Arabidopsis thaliana: one gene and its partners. The main gene of each other region encodes a partner of the protein of the gene in region 3 in a complex. Each region holds a gene or a part of one and is shown on either strand. Other genes may lie near its edges.

Region 1 (5,071 bases), on a different chromosome or scaffold from region 3:
AGCTAACTACACGATCGTTGTGATTGGCGAGATCTCCACAGCTGAGGCTCATGCAGAAGGATACTGAAAACAGAGTACTTCCCAGATCGATCTCAGTTATAATTAAGAACTAAGTTTCGTGCATCATGAAGAAAGTTCTAATAAAGGTCTGAAATTTTAAAAGTTCGGATTTTTATAAACATCAAGAACAAAGTTTGAAGTTCAGAACCAGGGAACTAAATAATTGATCTAGACCGCACCGGCTGGTTCAACCACAGTATCACGGTTTTATCTGTCCAATTGACCAATCTGGCCCATATTATTTTACAAATAAGATCTTTCAAATTGGCCCATATTTAACAAAAGAAAATCGAATTAATATTATGGTTTTCTAAATGAACCAAAATCAACTCAACTTTTTTTTTTTGAATAATTTTATTTTTATTCCATAATTTAATTTGTTTATCATTTCCAATGAAATTTTATCATTAATAAAAAAGGTTGCTCTCCTCATCCCTTCCATCTTTCCTTTCACATTTTTTAGATTATACCTCATGTTTGAATAATATTGGTTTACATATCTAATTCATATTGAAAAACCCTCCAAATCTCTAGAGAAAAAGGACGATAAGAGTACTTAACTCACAAAGGGCAAATACCCAACTTTTGAATCTCCTTACATATTTTATGACAAACTATGAAGGTGTCCTCCAAATACTCTTTAATCATCTTTTGATTATCATCTATAATGATTGTTTCTTCAGACCTCATACCCATATCTTCGAGCGGTTTTAGTATCTTTACTGTCTCGTTAAATAGATTCTCATTTACCATTTCTAAGCATTTCTTCTCTTCTATCGTTAGATCAACTTTCAATTTTTGTATGTCTTTGACGGCTTCCAACAAAACTAACAACAACAAAAAGAAAAATCAAATCAAAAGATTTCACTATAAAGAACAAAAAATAAACAAATTGTTAGTTACCATCATAGAACAAATAATATTCAGCTGCCACAACCCTTTTGAAAAGTTGAATACGTTCTGTGCTTTTGCTCATCTCAACAATTTTGATTAAAAAAAAAAATATCTAATGCATTCTTTGTTACAAGGTCGAGATGTTATTTTGTAGCGTATATAGTGTTTGAGGCTTCTTTGTTTGGAAAAGATCGCTTTCGAAAAATAATAATTATTATTATTTTCCATGTTATGCTTCATATAAAATGTGGACTCAGGCCTCCGAAATAACAAATAGAAAAAATTGTGTTGAATGCTTAAAAACGAGAAAGAAATCTCTCAACTTTGATTTACTGGACACGCATTGTATTTGTTTTCTATAATTAGTTCAAAATAATAATTTGTAAATAGTTATCTAAATTCGGTAAAATACAAACCGATAACTTTTCATATCAAATACAACAAAAGTTAGATATAAATCTTAAATTTCTATACTTTAAAATTGAGTAAACCTGAAAAGAATGAAATTTAGTCTACCTAAATTTATTAAAAACCAACAAAATTTTCATAATTCGAACCTTAATTATTTCAGGTTTGAACCGCTTATATTTATGAAAACCAAATGAACTAGCTAAAACGAAAACAAAAGCGAAAATGAACATGACAATTTTGACAATGTTAAAATGTGATTCTTTCATTAATTTGACAAATTCAACAATTCTTAAGAAGATCAATTGAATTGATAAACTATGCTGCTCTTCTTGGGTAATTCTCACATTTTAAAAAAAAAACAAAAAAGAAGAAGAAGTTAATTCTACCTTAATCTGCAACAAATCGTCTTCAAGATAATTATATCACGAATTGATATTTCTTGTCTCTTAATCTTAACGAAGAAACTACACCTCCTGGCTCCTACTGAATGTGCGTTGAACACTCACCTATTGACTCATCTTCACCATTCCTTCTTTCTTCAATCTATCATAGATATAAATACACTTCTTTTAAGTCACCAATCTTGTTTTCGTAATGGTACGAGTCATAAATCTTGATTTGTCTTTGGTAAGTCATGTTTAGTTGTGGATTATTTGTTTTTACGCATTTTCTAGATTTTAAAATTTTATCTTTATATAAACAAAAATAAAACGAAAAACTTTCAATCTTTGAGCGCCAAAACCAAAATTTTCATCGAAAAGGAAGATCAATTAAAATATTATAAAATTTCATAATAATGTCTTCAAAGCACAAAATAATAGTTTTAGTATTAAACCCACTCGGGGAAAAAAAACACATAAAAAAACCAAAATCGATTTCATTGATTTTTTCCATATTCACAGCGAAAGAATCGATCCTTAATACAAAATTCCTTCAAGATCTCACATCTCTTATAAGCTTTCTCGATACCATCATTTTCCTTTCTTTTTTTCTTTTCTTCGATTCTAATTTGGTTCTGCCGGATCTTCAACCTTGTCTGAAGAAGACATTTTCTAGGGTTTCTAGAGATTGGTCGGGTTTTCGGTTCAAGTAAATGGTGGATCAGCCTATCGTACGCTCCACTTCATTAGGTTATCAACGACAATATTCATCATCTAATAATCATCATCAAGGTCTTGCTTCGATTCTGAATCTCTGCTGCTGCTGCTTCGATAGTGTTCTTCGACAATCACCAGGTGTTATTGAAAAGCAATGCTGAGCGTGATCCGAGTGCATCTTCCTTCTGAAATTCCCATTGTGGGCTGTGAATTGACTCCTTACGTCCTTGTTCGTCGTCCCGATAAGAACTCCACCACTGATGACGTCCCTGAATCTGCTCCTCTTGAAGGCTACTTCTTGAGATACAGATGGTTAGATTTCTGATTGGCTCTTTGTCTAATTGCTTTCTTGGATCATTTGGCGAATTGGGGTTTATCAAAGATTGAATTTTGATCTGAATTCAGAGATTTCTCATGTAGATGTTCTGATTTAGGTCGTCAAATGGTTTTTGTGTGTAAAGTTCTGATCTTGTTGTAGATTCATTTTTTGGATTTATTTGTTGTAGGTATCGTGTACAGAGTGATAAGAAAGTAACGATTTGCAGTGTGCATCCAACGGAACAAGCTACTTTACAGTGTGTTTTCTGTTCTAAGCGTAGATCCCTTGTTCCAAAAAGCTATCACTGTTCGCCAAAATGCTTCACGGATGCGTGGCAGCATCACAGGACTTTGCACGAGCGAGCAGCTGCGGAAAACAACGCAAACGAGGATGATGACTTGAACAGGAATAACAGTGCGGGTTCTGGGTCTCTCGCTGGTTCCTTATCTGGGTCTATGTCAAATCTTAGTATTGCCAACAATGGTCCAGCTCCGTTTTATCCTTCTAATATTACTCAGAAAAATGGAGGAGAGACTTTAGTTGAGGTTGGGGGTTGCAAAACGTACACTCCAACAGCTGATGATATTAGCCACGTTTTGAAGTTCGAGTGTGTTGTGGCTAATGCTGAGACTAAACAGATTGTCGGACATCCTAGTACCATTTTGACTTCACGGGTTATTCCTGCTCCTTCTCCAAGCCCCCGTAAGCTAATCCCTGTTAACGGAGCTGATGGGATGGGTCACTTAGATCAAGATGCTCGGATTCAGTCTGCAGGATCATTCACTGTTCTTTCATATAACATTTTGTCTGATACTTCTGCAAGTAGCGACCTCTACAGTTACTGTCCTCCTTGGGCTCTTTCATGGCCATACCGAAGACAGAATTTGTTAAGGGAGATTGTTGGATATAGAGCCGATGTAGTTTGCCTGCAAGAAGTATGTTATTCGTATGGACTTGGTAATGATTTAAAGCATTTTAATTCTGAAAAATCTACTTCTAATGTGTTCTTTTTTTTGTTATCTGGCAGGTACAAAGTGATCATTTCCATGAAATTTTTGCTCCTGAGTTGGATAAGCATGGGTATCAAGCTCTTTACAAGAGGAAGACTAATGAGGTTTGGTCAATGATTCCACACACTCCTTCCTTCAGTGATTTATGTTTTAAAATCTATTAACCACAAATTTCTTGTTGCTAGGTTCTCAGCGGAAGTACAAGTGCCATTGACGGCTGTGCAACATTTTTCCGGCGGGATAGGTTTTCGCATGTCAAGAAATATGATGTTTGTATTCAGTTCTATATGTTTACTTGCTAGATCCAGTAAGATCTCTATACTAATTCATGGACTGTAAATCCAGGTTGAATTCAACAAGGCTGCTCAGTCTTTGACTGACGCTCTAATCCCTCAGGCTCAGAAGAGAACTGCTTTAAACCGACTGGTTAAGGTATTTTTGACATGGTATACAATATTTTTCTGGGCCACAGCTGATTATCAGAGAGTTATTGTTTACAAAACTGAAACCAATGATTCTTATGTTGTAGGATAACATTGCGTTGATAGTTGTTCTTGAAGCCAAATTTGGTAATCAACCTACTGATCCTTCTGGGAAGCGCCAGCTTATTTGTGTGGTACTGGTTCTTTTTTTTTTTCCATTCTCATGAGAACTGTTAGTTTCTGTATATGCTCTTTTAGTGAAAGCCAATGAATTTTCTTATTTTGTTGTGGCAACTTGTTTAGGCAAACACACATGTAAATGTTCAACAAGATCTGAAGGATGTGAAGCTCTGGCAGGTTGGTGTATCTCTATATCCGAAATAAATCAAATTTCATTGAACTCGAAAGAATTAGTATTCACCTCATGTTTTCTTTTATTCTTTTGCGTTTAGGTTCATACCTTATTAAAGGGACTAGAGAAAATAGCAGCTAGTGCCGATATTCCTATGCTTGTGTGTGGAGACTTCAATACGCTTCCTGGGAGGTTTGTTGATTCATAAATTCTTTTGACATGATACATGAAATGCAGAATTCTCTTATGAGTAGCTAAAGTTTTTCTTTTTGGCATTTTTATGACAGTGCACCTCATACACTTCTTGTAATGGGAAAGGTTGATCCAATGCACCCAGATCTGGCAGTCGATCCCCTTAATATCCTGCGTCCTCACACCAAATTGACTCATCAATTGCCTCTGGTAACATTGCTTTTTTCGATTTAAGTAAATTTATACCGCTTATCTTTGCGTCTCTCTTGGATATTTGATAAATGAATTGGTTTCAGGTGAGCGCGTACTCATCG
Region 2 (5,071 bases), on a different chromosome or scaffold from region 3:
CCCACAACACACAAAAAAAGTTAAAAACTTTAGGTAGAGCTGGAAAAACTAAACGCCGATTGTTTCAATTGTCGAACTAAACTCAGTGTTCTTATTACCTGATCAATCGAGAGAGGCAAGGTGATTTCATCTAAGAGCTGTGGAGTAGTAAGCCATGATTTGATGATCTGCCGAGCCTGAGGGTCGAGTCCGAGCCCAGCACCAGTAGGACTCCCAACAGGAGGTTCGGAAGATTTCTCGAGAACCAAAACATCCCAGCATGCTAACGTGAGCGAGTGTGCGCAAGATAAGCCTGCTATACTTCCTCCTACTATGATCGCTTTCCCTTTCTTCTTCCCCATCTCATCAAATCAAATGTTTCTTCTGCTTCACAAATTGTTAACGATAAGAGAGAGTTTCAACTTAATGAAACCTCTGGGTGGATAAGAGGATTAGAACTATGTGGGATGATTCCAGGCCCAATATTCCAAGCCCAATCGTTTGGTCATATAAATAAGAAACTGATCTCTGTTGTGCGTCAAAACTATGTATTAGAATTTCATTTTGTCCAGGCCCAGAATGAATTATAGGCCCAATAGTCTATTCTCTCTCCCACGAACATTATTTATAGATTTTTGGGTTTCCCCTAAATCTCGAGCTTTTTCTTCCCTTGATTTCTTTGGTCTCTGTCCGTACGACGTCGAATATCTAGATTGTTCGACGGCGATGGGAGCTGGGAGAGAAGTCAGCGTATCGCTAGATGGAGTCAGAGACAAAAACTTGATGCAGCTTAAGATACTCAACACGGTTTTGTTCCCGGTTCGTTACAACGACAAGTACTACGCCGATGCAATCGCTGCCGGCGAATTCACCAAGCTTGGTTCGTCTTCTTCTTACTTGATTTTTCTTAATTTCTGTCTCTCTTTGCTTTCCCCAGTAATTCCTGCTTAAATTTCTTAATGGGCATGTGCTATTACGATTTCACGGGAATGTGCCTCTGAATCAGAACTAAAATTCATCGAATTTTGGTATTTTTGCTCTCAGATTTCTGTCTTTTTACCTGAGCGAGCATTAGTAGTCGAGTTTGTTCCTTTAATAGGAAAAGTTTGCTTTGGGGGGTTTATGATGAACTGTTCTGTGATTAGGCTTGGTATACTCTACAAAGAAAGTACCTTTTGCAATCCTGCTTTCCTTTGGTTGTTTGTTTAGTTGGTTCACTGGTCATTGTAATAGGTGTGATTATCTGTGTCTTCTCTTTTGTTCGGTTCCGTGAATTTATTTGACTGAGCCATGTTTTATTTAGGTTCAGTACTAGTGTCTGATACTAGGAAGAAGATGATTTTATCGGTAATATTGGTAGAAGCCTTCTTTCTAAGCCTTGAATGGATCGATTTTGTTTGCTTTCTATTGTCTGTTGTTTCGTAATTACCGATTCATGTTTGAACTTTGTGGTTGATGACATTGATGTTGACAAAGTATCATCTTGATCGTTGTTTTAAGTTGTTTGACTATATGAATACTGCATTCTTTTGTTCAACCAAGCAAAATTTTTTGTATGTTAAGCATGTGTACCTTGTAATCTATCGCTGATTGACTTATATTATCTTTCGAGAACATGGTCCAAGACTAATTTTCGTATTCACAGAATTTTTTCAAGCTCACTTTTGTGAAACCCTTGGTTGGAACATCTTTTGCGTCAACTAGTTCTTTAAATGTACAATAAGATGTGATTATGAAAGTCTAAAGACTGTTAACAACGTCTTAAATTTGGTACTAACTATTTCATTGCAGTTGCTTGGGTAGTTATGTTCTTGGTGTTACATATATTTTCTCTAATTTGTGATCAAGGAAAATTCTTCATGTTCTAATAATGGATTGACTTCCTCTCAGCATATTACAATGACATATGTGTTGGAGCTATCGCCTGTCGGCTGGAGAAGAAAGAAAGTGGGGCCATGCGAGTTTATATAATGACGCTTGGTGTTCTTGCACCCTACCGTGGGATTGGCATTGGTAAGTCATAAATCTGCTGTGCAAAACTTGAATACCGACAAAACATGAATAATGAAGAAAACTGTTAGCATGTTGTGTAATTCTGTTGTTTTCCTTACGTTTTAACACATGAGGCCAGCTGTAGTATGTTTATTCTGTAGTTCTCTATTTGAAGTGTCTCCATTTAGAGATTCAAACCACCAAGAAATAGTCCTTAGGGTTTTATGCATATCGTTGTTTTACCGAGAAACTGGAATTATGATTCCTCCTATATCAAGATTTAAGATCGAATTCCCTGCTTTAGAAAGAAAAACTCGATGTCTATAATTTGTGTATCTTGTTTTTTTCGTCTTTTGCAGGCTCAAATCTATTGAATCATGTTCTTGACATGTGCTCCAAGCAAAACATGTGTGAGATATACTTGCATGTGCAGACAAACAACGAAGACGCAATCAAGTTCTACAAGAAGTTCGGCTTTGAGATCACAGATACCATACAAAACTATTACATCAACATTGAGCCAAGAGATTGCTACGTTGTCAGCAAGTCCTTTGCTCAATCTGAAGCCAACAAATGATGAAAAATACCAAACTTGGGGAAGCCATTCCTCCCCAGTTTCTTTGTTGCATTCAGTTCAAGATCTATTAATGTTATGATGATCCTTCGGTTTCCGAGTTTTGCTTGTTTTGTTGACCTTAATTTTTCTTACTGATTCTAAATTTATAAATTCCTGGTTATATACTTGCATGATTTCTCTAATGTCCTCTTGGCTTTGGACATTTTCGTTTGGAAAAGTTTTTAACTTTGCAACTCAAAGCTTTACTACCAAGTATCATCGTGTTTGTAAATGTTGGTCTATGAATTTGAGTAAAGAGAGACAATGATTCTTGTTATGAGCTGTAGAATAAAGTAAAGAAAAAAATGAAGAATTTATGACTTGCGTTTTGGCTTGCGTGCCATTTATTCACAGTGAAGACTGGAAGATGTGTTCTTCTTGAATCAAAAAACGGCACGTCTTATGAGTCTCCGTTCATCGGTGTCTGCAATTAAGCACCGGTTCCTCGAGCTTCCTCACTCAATTCGATTGACCAATGCGGCGTTCTCGTTTTGTTGCTCAAGTTTTCTCCGACGTTACCTTCGCTGACGCCTCCACTATCTCTGCTCCAATCTTCACCATGTCTACTCGTGCTCCGGTAAATTTTCTCAGCTATTCTCTTGTTCTATCACTCCCGCTGCGTTGCTTCGGTTACTGGAATATAATTTGTTTCTTACGAAGCAGTACAGAGGTGCCCGAGGACGAGGACGAGGCCGAGGTGGGAGAAGTTTCTCCGATCGTCCGTACAATGATGACGCGGGAAGAGATCAGTTCGTTACTGGAGATTCTCATTTTCAATCAGTTCATGACGCCAATTTCCGATTCCGGCATGGTGAACCTTATCGACAACATCAGCCTCCGCTTGATCAGCGGCAGCAACCACCGTTCAATCAGAATTACGAATTTCGACCTCCGCCGCCGTCACGAGGTCAGTGGCAACAATTCCGTCAACCTAATCAGTTTCCGTCTAATCAAAACTACGCGGCTTGCCCTCCCCCTCCGTTCTATCAAAACCAGATGTCCCGGCCGCCTCCACAGCAGAGCTTTCGTCAACGGCCACGGTCAAAACCTTCAGATTACCGTGAATGGGAATATGCCAAAACGCCACCGTCTCCTGGCTCCGGTAATTTATGCGTGACCATCTCATTTGCTCCGGTATACAATTTTTGATTTGCTTTCTCTTGTCTACAGAAAAGTTTGTTGTTTTATCGTATAATATATTGGCGGATTACCTTGCAAATGATCACTGGAGAAGTCTTTACTTTCACATACCGAGGAATATGTTGAGTTGGGGATGGAGAAAGAGCAAATTAGTGTTCGAGCTTAGCCTATGGTCTGCAGATATAATGTGCCTTCAGGTTATAGTTTCTGCTATATCTTCTTGGTAATTGCTTGTATGAGGGACTAAGGAGACAAAACTTTCTTGCTTTACTATTTTTTTATCATATGTATACAGAATGTATCTTCCATATGTATAGTAATCTAAAATTATTTTGTATATGTCAGGAAGTTGATAAATTTCAGGACTTAGAGGAGGAGATGAAGCACCGGGGATATAGTGCTATTTGGAAGGTAGGTTTGTTGAAAACTTTTAGTTGTCTTGAGTTTGTATTCTCTACGGACTCTCTTGGAGTAAAGATTAAATGGTATGCATCATAAGAACTAGGCTTCAAATGTGGGGTTAACTCTATTTTATAAAACTGTAGATGCGGACTGGTAATGCTGTTGACGGATGTGCAATATTTTGGCGATCCAATAGGTTTGATTCCCTTGCTCTTCCTTGTGTGGATCAGTCTGGAATCTTGTTTAGGATTTCATTGTTATCATATTAGATTCAAGTTGGTTCACGAGGAAAGCATCCAGTTCAATCAACTTGGTCTCCGAGATAACGTTGCTCAAATATGTGTGCTTGAGGTAATATGGATACCTTATGTTGATAGTGACTTATATACATTTGCCTCTTTGCCCTAAATTAAATTTGCTCTGTGTAGACATTGTTGACTTCACATACAAAAGAAAATGAGACCCCTCCACCTGAAAGGTAACTTAAAAGTATCTGTAAATGTTACTATCATATCATTTTATGGGTGGATAATTTCACTAGGAAGTGGCCGATTTTCTTCAGATTTCAGTGGTTTTCTGTATGGACTATACTTTGTGGGTGGGTTGAAGTGAATTACCAATTTCTTTTACAGCTCTGCTGGTTCCCATCGAGTTGTCATTTGTAACATTCACGTGCTTTTTAATCCTAAAAGAGGAGACTTTAAACTTGGTCAGGTACTTTCCTTTAATGCCATATTCTAGTTTGTAGAAATCTTTTGCCAAACGACAGTTTTACTCTCTGGTTTAACTCTGTCTATACGCTATGAACATGTATAAGTGTTAGGTGTTTGAGATAAAACTTTTGAAACCAAACGCTTCGCCCCTTGCTTAACTTGGTTTCTTTAACTGTTTCCATTTATCATCTATGTATTTATCTCTGTTACGTAGGTCAGAACACTCTTA
Region 3 (5,071 bases):
AACAACATTCCTTCCCTTGTATTTTTTTTTGTTAAAGATTCTTCTCTTGTATTTTCCCATACTTATTCAAAATCTCTCCAAAATATTAATGTAGAGTTTACTTTTTGTCATATCCAGAAATAACTATACCAAGTAAATAAGTAGAATATATGACGAGAACGTATACAATTTATGCAATAAAGAGATTAAGCTTGGGGAATAAGGAACCACGGATGCATAAAGACCTCGAATATCAAATCATGATCTTATATTACGAGACACCGAAAGCGAGTGATCATTTGCTCATTGGCATTGAGTTCAGATCCGCCGAAGCAATAATATGAACATAGAAATAATCAAAATAAAAAACCATATTTGTATGCATAAATATTGTTTCCCACTTTTTTCGAACCAGATTCAAACTCTTATGAAGTTATCCCACTATGTTTATAGAGTTCGAAAGTAAAGACCATTATAAACATGAAAGAAGATAACCATTTAACTCGTAGCAATGGATCGGAGCACGCTTATTCTTCTTCCTCTTAATTACCTCGAAAAGCCTGGAACCGGAAGTAAGCTTGGGACATATATAGTAGCAACCAGGACCACCAATTGAAGACTCCATAGAAGAGTAACATTCAACTTTCGGGCATTCTTATGTCTCTCCCACAACGTAGATGCTAATTGACCTAGTTACAAAGTGACGAATATATAGCAGAATCTTACCATTGTTCTCAATGAAGTGACTTGGATATATTGGAAACTTGGGAAGTTGAGCTATAGAAACTGTCATTAACCTACTCCAATGCTTCTTCATCAGTATATCTTACCTGCTAAGTGCGGTTCACGTAACAAAGAAAGATGATCTCCACGGAAAATCCCTAAAGAAAGAGAATCTTTCCACTGGATCCCGATGGATGAGTGATGAAGAGACTCGAACAAGGTCTCAAATCTCTCTTTTGAGAAATCGAAACTTTGTATCGAAACGGTACCGTAGATATTATAACCTATCCAATAAGGAGTTCCTCCTATACACACACTTGACAATGGTAGTCGAAAGAACCCATGGAAGGTTTTATCAACAACAACAACCTTCCAACAATCAGATTTGAAATCGTAGATTTCAACACTTAAATTATTAGGACACCGAAACCTAACCATTTTGTAATCATTACAACCACTTGGTGACTCGTTACTAATGTATCCAAGACCATATGCATCGATGGAATGGTCAAACTCAAAGCTATAGCCACATTTGATCCATCTTGCTTCTTTCAACAACGGATTGGAAACTAAAATTTTGGTTCCCATGACCATTAGCAATAGACCATCACAATGAAACATGTTGTGCTCCAATAAATCCGAAGATGAAAGCGGTTTAAAAACCTGAAAATTTAAACTAGGTTTGTTGTTGAAATCCATACCGATACAAGAAATTGTTGAGCACAATGGAGAAACTGTGGCCGGAACGTAATTGAAGACTGTGAATATCGGTTCAAGACCATGCATGTGAGACATGTGCTTGTTGACGAATATCGGTTCTGTGATTAGTGTTTTCCATTGCTTGCATGTCCTCTACCAAATTAGTTTGTAGTATGTCCTTTACCAAATTAGTTTGTAGTATTATATTTGGGTTTGTTATTTTCAATTTAGGGTATATATTTTTATTATTAAAAACTTTTTTGATTCAATTTAATATTAGATTAATGTTTGCTCTCATTTTTATTTGGGGGATTGATACAAATAGTAATAAAAAAAACTTTATTATTTAATTAATTTATAGAGGATTAAAAATTTTATATGCTATTTTGGAAATTTCAAAAAAAAGGTGTCATTTTTTGGAATAATAAAGTTTTTTAGTGTCATTTACGTCAATCCCCTTGTTATATTAATATTGGTGTGAAGCTTTTTGGGAAATATATCTATAATTTCTCATCTTATAAAGTTTTATGCTCAAGTGAGTGTTAGTATGGAAATTTTTAATTCGCAATAGTGTATATTGGTCCGTAATGGTGAATTAGTTAAATATCGATTAATTAGATTTTAGTCTGGTACACAACCATTTATAGACTAAATATCTGACAGTAAATGATTTAGAAACTCATACTAACTTATATAGTTATATATATAGGTGCTTTGGGAATTTTTGAAAATTTTGGGTTTTGGATTTTGACGTTGATTTCGATTGGATTTTTATTTGTTGGAAAGTAAATGAACCTACTAATGACCTATTTTTGGTTCTAAAGTTCCAATAAATAAAATGAAGGCTCACTAACTACTTTAATATAAAGACAGGGAGCAAATGATAATTATCGAATTCTTCACTATTTTATTTGAAAACCCACAAGAGTTTCTTCAATCTAAAGCCAAATTGGGTTAAGTCAATTGTTGTCACTATAGATGTTTAGTTCTACAACTCTGCATCATCTTCCTCGTCCGAATCTTCTTCTTCCCAGGTGGGTTTCTTCGTTTCTGTATCAATCAATATACAGTTTCATTTTCTGTAATCTCAAGTTTCGTATTTAGTAATGCAACTAAATTGATCGTCTCTGTTCATTGTCATTGGGCAATTTCGTTGAGGAATACAATTTGTTTAGAAATTTCTCATCTTTATATTGGAACCAATCCTCTAGAATCTCGAATTTATCTGGGCTGTAATTGAAATTTTATGGGGAATTAAATCAGCTTCTTAATTTTGACCTAAATATTGATGTTCAAGGATTGTTTTTTTTCCTGACCCTTTGATTCAACAGCTCTCGTGTCTGCAGGAAAGTTATTTCGAGAAGAATGAGTACGAATCCTGCAATTGAACCAAAAGTTCGCAAATTTGAATCTGTTGAAGGAGTTGATATTGGTTCAAGAAATAAATCCGATGGTTTTTTTGCTATTCCTCTTTACTTATCAAAGCTTGTGGCTTTATATAACTGTATAAGTTTAAGTAGAATTGGTACTAGTAATGAGAATTTTGTGTTTTCAGGTATCAGATTCCGTCTTGTTTCATATAACATATTAGCTCAGGTAAGAAATAATCAAGCTTTTTAATCTCTCATATGCTTTGTGATATTTTGTAGCTTAATATTTGGACGAATTTTGTAGTTTTAAACGATCTTACGAATTTCTGAGCTTGATTTATAGATACAGACAGTTCTTTTAGCTCTTTCCTTTGTTGAGTTTCTTATCTATTTGAGCTTTATATTTCTTGTAGGTTTATGTGAAGAGTGCACTTCTCCCACACTCTCCACCTGCCTGTCTCAAGTAATTATTTTTCTCTACATTTCTCAGTTTCGAGATCAAATTTACTTATACTAGTCAAGAGTTCTTTCTGTGAGTTGTGTAATCAATGGCCTGGAGTATAGTCAAGATTTGCTTCAGAAAACAACAATGGATTCTATGAATGTTTAGGAACTTAGCTATAAGCAGGCAATATTGTGTTTGGTCTTACCCACGTTAATTATCCATTACCCAATATGTACTTTGGATTTAGCGATATATTAACTTTGTTAAAATATTAGGGAATGGTGCTTCTTAAAGGGTTATGGTTTTGTAGTAAATGTGACTTGGTCTTCCTTTTCTTGTGTTGCAGATGGAAAGCTCGTTCACATGCAATTCTCAGCGTTCTCAAAAATCTCCAGGCTGATTTCTTTTGTCTGCAGGTACTTTATTCTTGTGAAAACTTCTTCTTTTGTGTTTAGGTAGTATTGAGATACCCTTTTCGTATGAAACACAAAATTCATTCTTCTCTTTTGTTCAATCCATTAGACAAGCTCAGGCCTGTAAAAATGTTAGTGTTGTTTGTTCATAGGGCCTTTGAATTGTGTTTAACAAAAGGGTGTCTCCACTTGTTAGTTATATAGTTGCAATGCTCGCAGGAAGTAGATGAGTACGATAGCTTTTACAGAAATAACATGGACTCTCTGGGATATTCTGGGATTTATATTCAGAGAACCGGCCAGAGGAAGCGTGATGGTTGTGCAATCTTCTACAAGCCAAGCTGGTATGATAAAAACATTAAGCCTGACAAGACGTTAACTTAATGCAAAAACATCAATCTGATTGAAACAACACTCTTCTTTTGATTTAGTGCAGAGTTAGTCACAAAGGAACGGATCGAATATAATGATCTTGTGGACTCAATAAAAGCAGATAGTGTTTCCTGCAGCGAACAGAAGATTGAGACATCCAACGAAGGAAAAGGTGATGAGAAAGCGAAAGATAAATTTGTCCTTTTGGAGGAAAAGAAAGCAAATACTTTGTGCTGTTTCTTTATATCTCAACATCATTACTAACTTTTATCTATGTTCTCTTCACATGTTTCCACAAATCTGCCCCAAACAAAAGATTCTCGAAAAGACAGTCGTGACCTTAATGATCCACTAGTGAGACTAAAACGTGATTGCGTTGGAATAATGGCTGCTTTTAGGATCAACAAGCCGTTTCAGCATATCGTTATCGTGGCAAACACACATCTTTACTGGTAAAAATACTTGTCACCGATTGAAGATTATCTTTTACCACCCTTTAAACTTTCATCTCATGTTTACTTATCTCTAGGGACCCTGAATTGGCTGATGTCAAGCTTGCTCAAGCCAAGTATCTACTGTCACGACTAGCTCAGTTCAAAACACTAATATCAGATGAATTTGAGTGCACACCTTCATTGCTACTAGCTGGCGACTTCAATTCAATTCCTGGGGATATGGTTTGATTCAGTTTCTTACATTGAGTTTCCCTAATTGTTCAATCTATTTGCAAAATCAAAAGATTGGGTTTACGGTGGTAAAATCCTGATACTTGTCGTCGTTTTCCAGGTTTATAGTTACCTAGTATCGGGTAATGCTAAACCCACAGAGACCATAGAAGAAGAAGAAGCTCCAGTTCCTCTGTCTAGTGTCTATGAAGTCACAAGAGGAGAGCCTAAGTTCACAAATTGCACTCCTGGCTTCACAAACACACTTGACTACATCTTCATCTCTCCTTCAGACTTCATTAAACCTGTGAGTATCCTTCAACTACCTGAGCCGGATTCTCCAGATGTTGTCGGTTTCTTACCGAATCATCATCACCCGAGTGATCATTTACCTATAGGAGCTGA

The links.
Region 1: AT1G31500 (region 3) and AT3G58580 share a complex: the UniProt entries of both Arabidopsis thaliana proteins name them as parts of the CCR4-NOT complex.
Region 2: AT1G31500 (region 3) and AT5G11350 share a complex: the UniProt entries of both Arabidopsis thaliana proteins name them as parts of the CCR4-NOT complex.

Annotation. Positions count from the first base shown.
Region 1 is NC_003074.8:21,661,243-21,666,313, reverse strand, and holds the start of AT3G58580 (DNAse I-like superfamily protein), read left to right. Parts: upstream 1-2,218; 5' UTR 2,219-2,616; coding exon 2,617-2,774; intron 2,775-2,968; coding exon 2,969-3,716; intron 3,717-3,808; coding exon 3,809-3,895; intron 3,896-3,976; coding exon 3,977-4,060; intron 4,061-4,136; coding exon 4,137-4,223; intron 4,224-4,320; coding exon 4,321-4,407; intron 4,408-4,516; coding exon 4,517-4,570; intron 4,571-4,665; coding exon 4,666-4,757; intron 4,758-4,852; coding exon 4,853-4,967; intron 4,968-5,053; coding exon 5,054-5,071. Other genes in the region: AT3G58590 (Pentatricopeptide repeat (PPR) superfamily protein), read right to left, coding at 1-52. UniProt on the Arabidopsis thaliana protein: Acts as a catalytic component of the CCR4-NOT core complex, which in the nucleus seems to be a general transcription factor, and in the cytoplasm the major mRNA deadenylase involved in mRNA turnover.
Region 2 is NC_003076.8:3,618,521-3,623,591, forward strand, and holds the start of AT5G11350 (DNAse I-like superfamily protein), read left to right. Parts: upstream 1-2,998; 5' UTR 2,999-3,062; coding exon 3,063-3,164; intron 3,165-3,247; coding exon 3,248-3,689; exon of another isoform or gene 3,690-3,696; coding exon of another isoform or gene 3,697-3,757; coding exon 3,758-3,924; intron 3,925-4,072; coding exon 4,073-4,138; intron 4,139-4,272; coding exon 4,273-4,325; intron 4,326-4,398; coding exon 4,399-4,480; intron 4,481-4,557; coding exon 4,558-4,607; intron 4,608-4,761; coding exon 4,762-4,843; intron 4,844-5,056; coding exon 5,057-5,071. Other genes in the region: AT5G11330 (FAD/NAD(P)-binding oxidoreductase family protein), read right to left, coding at 99-341; AT5G11340 (Acyl-CoA N-acyltransferases (NAT) superfamily protein), read left to right, coding at 706-859, 1,870-1,992, 2,331-2,548. UniProt on the Arabidopsis thaliana protein: Acts as a catalytic component of the CCR4-NOT core complex, which in the nucleus seems to be a general transcription factor, and in the cytoplasm the major mRNA deadenylase involved in mRNA turnover.
Region 3 is NC_003070.9:11,273,843-11,278,913, reverse strand, and holds the start of AT1G31500 (DNAse I-like superfamily protein), read left to right. Parts: upstream 1-2,285; 5' UTR 2,286-2,379; coding exon 2,380-2,435; exon of another isoform or gene 2,436-2,439; intron 2,440-2,732; coding exon 2,733-2,997; intron 2,998-3,184; coding exon 3,185-3,234; intron 3,235-3,562; coding exon 3,563-3,632; intron 3,633-3,848; coding exon 3,849-3,973; intron 3,974-4,060; coding exon 4,061-4,173; intron 4,174-4,317; coding exon 4,318-4,453; intron 4,454-4,530; coding exon 4,531-4,678; coding exon of another isoform or gene 4,679-4,684; exon of another isoform or gene 4,685-4,787; coding exon 4,788-5,071. Other genes in the region: AT1G31510 (F-box associated ubiquitination effector family protein), read right to left, coding at 452-633, 706-765, 810-1,497. UniProt on the Arabidopsis thaliana protein: Acts as a catalytic component of the CCR4-NOT core complex, which in the nucleus seems to be a general transcription factor, and in the cytoplasm the major mRNA deadenylase involved in mRNA turnover.